2 linked regions of the Nothobranchius furzeri genome follow. The protein of the gene in region 1 purifies or fractionates together with the protein of each later gene. This does not show direct contact. Links are inferred from orthologs where the notes say so. Each region holds a gene or a part of one and is shown in the gene's direction. Other genes may lie near its edges. The genes, in order: tnfrsfa and CASP8 and FADD-like apoptosis regulator.

The links.
Region 2: the proteins of tnfrsfa (region 1) and CASP8 and FADD-like apoptosis regulator purify together in Homo sapiens (affinity purification with western blotting; 5 studies listed by BioGRID and IntAct, with this or other methods). This does not show direct contact. The link is inferred for Nothobranchius furzeri from reciprocal best matches to the Homo sapiens genes TNFRSF10A and CFLAR.

The regions. Positions count from the first base shown.
Region 1 is NC_091746.1:65,398,716-65,402,273, reverse strand, and holds part of tnfrsfa (tumor necrosis factor receptor superfamily, member a), read left to right. Parts: intron 1-1,929; coding exon 1,930-2,041; intron 2,042-2,599; coding exon 2,600-2,733; intron 2,734-2,828; coding exon 2,829-2,930; intron 2,931-3,015; coding exon 3,016-3,065; intron 3,066-3,153; coding exon 3,154-3,435; intron 3,436-3,522; coding exon 3,523-3,558. UniProt on the Homo sapiens protein: Receptor for the cytotoxic ligand TNFSF10/TRAIL. The adapter molecule FADD recruits caspase-8 to the activated receptor.
Region 2 is NC_091754.1:17,630,613-17,633,257, reverse strand, and holds the end of CASP8 and FADD-like apoptosis regulator, read left to right. Parts: intron 1-29; coding exon 30-108; intron 109-574; coding exon 575-1,067; intron 1,068-1,144; coding exon 1,145-1,274; 3' UTR 1,275-2,082; downstream 2,083-2,645. UniProt on the Homo sapiens protein: Apoptosis regulator protein which may function as a crucial link between cell survival and cell death pathways in mammalian cells. Acts as an inhibitor of TNFRSF6 mediated apoptosis.

The DNA.
Region 1 (3,558 bases):
TGAAGAGAAAGGTACAGAACCAAAATATTTAATTAATTAGCTGCACGTTCTCCTGTCCTCTATCATCCGACACACACACACACACACACACACACACACACACACACACACACACACACACACACACACACACACACACACACACACACACACACACACACACACACACACACACACACACGGGACTGTCTCAGCTGTTATTTTCGTTAAGGAGTGTTCACGTAAAGCATGCGCACCTCATGCACGAGCCTACTATTGAAGCTGCCGTTACGCTTTTGGCCTGAGGGGGCAAACGCGAGCATTAAAATTCAAAAGTCTGTAAAGTTCCTTTAAATATTATCTGTGTAAAATATGACGACTACATCAATTTAAGTTAGGCCACTTGTGCCAAGCAAACTTCATATTATATGAAATAATATGTGGACACTTTGGGTGAGAAGAGTGGCTGAGGAGCATGATGTACAGTATGTGCATGGTAAGGCCGCACTATATTAGGAAAACCTGCGATATACGATAACAGTGATTAATATTGCGATGACGATATTACTTGCGATAAATAAAAACTTAACTCAAGAACAAAAATAATCAAAAACAAAGAAATTAAAAAATGACAAAGTCATACAAATGAGAAAAGCAAAAAATGTGTGGAAAGGGAAAAAGAAAATGAACAAGAAAAGGCAATCAGTGGATCCCGGGAAAAGCAGAATCAGCAGAAAGATCAGAACAAAGCTAACTCAGGTGTTTGCTAACCATCAAAATTAGATGCCGTCCACCTCGGGGGCGGGCATCTGACCTATGAGAACCCACCCAATTGGCCAAATGGGTGAAGAACTCTATTTGATTGGTTAAAAAAACATCATGCTTTCATTTGATGGACAGAATGCATTTCGTGTAGCAAATATTTGAGCTGACCATTCATTGCGATTATTATCTGTTGTTTTCGATGCATATTGTGCATGCTGATATCGCGACAACGATATGTTTGCGATATATTGTGCAGCCCTAGTGCATGGTATCAAAATGAGTAAAAAACCAATACTGATCATCACCGGCGGTGATAATATGAGACATCCCTAATAATATTAGATAAAAATAGAAACTCTGATCTTTTTAATTAACATTATTTTTCAAAATAATTAAGAATTTTTTCTGAATAAATGAGATAATTTAAACTAAATGGATAAATGTATCACTGCAGTGTTTTATAGAGATGATGTTCTGTGGTTGTAGGCTTTACTAACTGGCTAAGTAGGATGAACTCCATGACTAAAGCCCCATCAGATCTTCTAGCCAAAGCAAAACTTTCCCGTATCATGTTATCGATGCCAGGACACGAGAATCGTTGAGCGATACTCGTGGAACAGAACATTTTTTCCTCCTTGCCCTAACAGTTTTTATTCAGAAAAACAGTTTTCTTTTTTCTTCAAGTGAACGCACTACACCTCTGTAAAAAAAAAAAAAAAAGGGGGGGGGGGTTTAATTGTGCAAAAAAAAATCAGTAGAAAGTCAGTTTGGACACTTAATAACAGGTGTTCTGTGGAGGTGGAGTGTTTATTTGTTTATTTGGATCACACCTGAACAGACTGCTGTTGGTTTTAAAGACTTTGGTTTCATGTAGAGTATGTGTGTTCTTCGTGTGCATGCGTGGAGTTTCTCTGGGTACATCGGTTTCCTCCCACAGACCAAAAAAAATGCTTGTCTGATTAGTGGGAGACTGAATTGTCCCTAGGAGTGTGTGTGTGTGTGTGTGTGTGTGTGTGTGTGTGCGCGCGTGTGCGTGTGCGTGTGTGTTGTCCCTGTGATGGACTGGAGACCTGTCCCCCAACACCAGTTCCCCACGACCCCAAACGTTTAGCAAGATGTTAGAATTCAGATATTTGAAATAAGTTGTCAGGTTTGTGTTTTCATGGTTTTCCCACCTCTCCACAGATGAGATTGAAACCAAGTCCTGCACCACCACTACAGACACCAGGTGCCAGTGCAAACCAGGTACCTTCTGTGTTCCAGACCAGGCCTGCGAAGTCTGCAAGCGTTGTGCCAAGTGAGTCTTGTTTGATGATTTTACTTCCACCCTGCTGGCATGCCAGACTAGACCAGATTAGGTAACTAGACTAGACTAAACTAGATCAGACCAGACCAGGCTAGACCAGATCAGATGAGACTAGACTAGACTGGACTACATTACACTAGATCAGATCAGACTACACTAGACCAGATCAAACTAGATCAGACTAGTCTAGAACAGACCAGATCAGATGAGACCAAACTAGACCAGACCAGACTAGACCAGATCAGATGAGACTAGACTAGACTGGACTACATTACACTAGATCAGATCAGACTACACTAGACCAGATCAAACTAGATCAGACTAGTCTAGAACAGACCAGATCAGATGAGACTAGACTAGATTACACTAGATCAGATCAGACCAGATCAGGCTAGATTAGGCTAGACCAGACCAGACCCAGCCTATAGAGACTTGTTCACCACTCAGAGCCATAGTGTGCATCAGGGACTGACTACAGTAATGACCCCTGGGCCTGTTGCTTGGTGGAGTTGATGCATTATTATTGATCTCCCCAAAAACTGTTTATAGGTGTAAATCAGGTGAGGAGGTGGTGAAGAACTGCACGCCTGTTTCCAACACGGTTTGCCGAACACGGGGTCCGTCTCCCACTGAAAGCGCCACGGATCGTACCCCGCCGACTTCTACCTCTCCAACTAATCACGGTATTTTTCACACAGCCTGTTAGTCGGCTTTAAGAGCCACTCTAGCTGAAACCTGTCTAGGCTTTTTCACTGATTTTGTGTGTTATTTCTTTCAGTCATCACAATATTTGTCATCCTGATCATTGTCATCTTCATCGCCGTCGTTGCGTGGGCCTTGTGGTGGTTTGTAATCAAGCAGCGTTCGTGTGAACTTCCATGTGAGTTAGCATCACTTACTGATGACTGGGAGTTGTTTTCACTGGTTCTGTGTGTTCATGCTTAAGGCTGTTTCCCTGCTTTCAGCAGGGTCCAAGAACCACTGTGACTCCAGTGAAATTGTCAAGATTCCCATTGTAAGTCGTCTAATCAGTCTTGACTAGTGTAGATGATGTTTAGGACAATGTGTGACTAGTTTACCTCGTTCGCCCCTCTGCTGGTTAGGACGAGAGTGGAGCCACAGCCGAGGAGAGACAGAATGATCAAAACGCCGGCCTGGAGGGCGAAGAGCCGCGCCCAGAGTCCCGGCCGCTGCTGCAGGAGACTCAGGCCGGGATGACCAAGGCCTGCCCTCCCCTCGAGGATGAGGACAGGGGACTTGGAGACAGTTTACCCAACACTACTAGTTCATCTCAGACGAGTCTATCAGCGCTGCCCACCGCAGCGTTCTCTGAGAACACCCCGCACCACAGCCCTGCGGCGGTCAGACTTCAGCCTGCAGACACGGTGAGGAAAAGCATCAGAACAAACTCTGATCTTTAAAGCAGCTGATGTTTGTTCATCTTATGTTTACATTTTGTCCTCGTGCTACAGGTTGACCCTCTACGACATCGCCTGCTTCCACTACTC
Region 2 (2,645 bases), on another chromosome or scaffold:
TTTAACAGGTTTGTGCTTTCTTCCTGCAGAGTCCGATGGAACGGTACAACCTGAACACTAATCCAAGAGGAGTCTGTGTAATTATAGACTGTGTGGGAAATGGTGGAGGTGAGACCTAAAACATTATAATGAGGTAAAACAAAATAGAATTTTGACAAATCGCTCACATTCTTTCACAGAACAGGTTAATGCTGTCACTTTATGGATTTCTGAAAAACTCATACGTAATTCCTGAAAGGGGGAACACTCCAGATTGCTGCTTTAATGCCTATGCAGTAATTTGGTTTTGTGATTTGCATTTTTGTGGAAAACTGAATTAAGGAATTAAATTTATTCTACAGGGCTAATTTTCTTATTGTACAAGTGGCTTGAGTGACTACAATTAGGATAAATATTTCAGTTTAAAATATGATTTTTAGTGAATAAGAAGTTATCGTACCGTAAAATGTAGCCCAACAATCCTTGAGATGTGGTGCAGGAAAAGTGAAAATACTCAGATGAAGGGAAAAAATACATGTGTACTGCAAAGTCACTCACTTATTCTCTAATTATTTATGTCGTCTTTCTCTTTCAGAAATGTTAGAACAGACGTTCAAGGCTCTTCACTTCAACGTTTCCCTCTACCTTTTCTTGACTTCTGATCTCATCCTTTTATCTCTCAGAGAAATATTGAGACCGACAGAAAACCACATAGGAGATGCTTTTGTCTGTTGCATCATCAGCCGTGGTTCTACCCACCGCCTTTTGGGTACAGATGAGTATGGTGGCGGTTTTGCTATAGATTGCATCAGAAATCTTTTCACGGGTGACGCTTGTCCCATGCTGGCTGGGAAGCCAAAGCTGTTCTTTATCCAGAGGTACAACGTTGTAGAGTCTAATTTGAACTACGTGGCCGAGAGCGTGGAGGTCGATGGCTTTAATAGACAGCCAGCGAGTGGTTCCATTCCCAAAGAAGCAGATATATTCTGGAGTCACTGCTGGACAGATGAACGTCAGCTGCTGCAAAGGAAACATCACTCTGTCTACCTAAAGGCGCTGACTGATGCCTTACACGACGCCCAAAGAAGGTAGAAGCAAACATTAAATTTAATATCGTCTTCTGTTCGTCTAAATGTTTCTCGTTTTCTCTCCCCTGTTCTGACAGGAAACTGAATCTTGTTGACGTTCAAATGAGGGTGAATGGAGCCATTTTTGAGCATAATAGAAGAAATCCTGGAGCAGCTTATAGCATCGACGTAAAACACACTTTAAGGAAGAATCTATATCTGGATTAGAAATGCTAAAGTGGAAGTTACTTCAACTGAACTCCCTCAACCAATTTCACATGGATTCAAGCGTTTCATTTGTGCACACTGCCACCTAGCGGCTGAAGAAGAAATATTTAAATACTAAACATATTTTTCTCTCTTTATTTTATACATTTTTCTATAAAACCTTGTCCCCCCCCCCCCCCCCAATCCATATTCAGAACCTCAACATTTTAACCAGAGACTCAATGAAGATGGAAAACTAGAACCAAACAGAATAGAAGCAGAACATTTATTTAAATATAAAGTAAAACTAAATAAAAGTGTATTTGCTTCCGTCACTACTCATTCTGTATACCTGAGACACTATTTAGTTCTTTATATTTCAACTTTTTTATAACAGATGCAAGTAAACTATTGAGAGACTTCATGATACAGACGTCTGAAAAAGAGCAACATAGAGTATTGTTAGTCCTGGAAACTCAAGACTTACAGTTAAACTAACATTGGAAGGCAGCTCACTATATAAATTTACATTTTTTTATTATCTCAGATCTCAGTAAAAAATGAGTCTTGAAGTTTACTGTAATAAAATATAGTCTAAAGACGCGACGAGGAGCTTTTCTTCATCGTCATGAAGTTGAATGTTTCTTTCTGCTTCTCTTTAAATGTGAATTTAAATTTATATAATTATGCTAGCTTATAAATGTCAAATGCTGACCTTAATATATTTAGTTGAAAATGTATTTTTATTCATAGCTTTAATAGAATGTTAATTGTACTTTTTATTACATTTCATGTATTCATCATAATGTACAATAAAGTTTTAACTTACCATCCTTCCGTTTTTAAGGTTTTGTGTGGGGCCAAGTGATCATTTTGCATCTACCAAATCAAAATTGAAAAAGAACATCAGTAAGACACTGAGTGAATAGTCATGTTAATTTGAATGTATTAGTGCTGAAATACTTAATGTTTTATTCAAATTTTGCTGCTACAGCCACTTACTATGGAAGATTGTGGGAGAAAATATGTTATATTTACATTGCATGAATATTTGTCTGTTTCTTATCTAAAGCACAAACTATCACAACATTGCAATTCAGTAAAAAGCAAAATCAAAAATTCTACTTAACCTTATATCACTATTAATTAAGCAATGTAAATTTTTTCCCCAGTGTTGCTATTTGCTGTTCATTTATTTAAATGTTTTGGAAAAAGGCATTTTAATTTTTTTATAAACTATTTTGTTGTATATGTTTGTCGTTGGTTGTTTTGTACCACTCTGCTCCCAAATCACTATTAAGCGGACCTTGATTTGATCTGAGTTGGGTCTTGGGTTGGGGTGACGGGGGTGGCACATAAATGGTTCCGCTTCTGCCCATCCAACCGATCCAT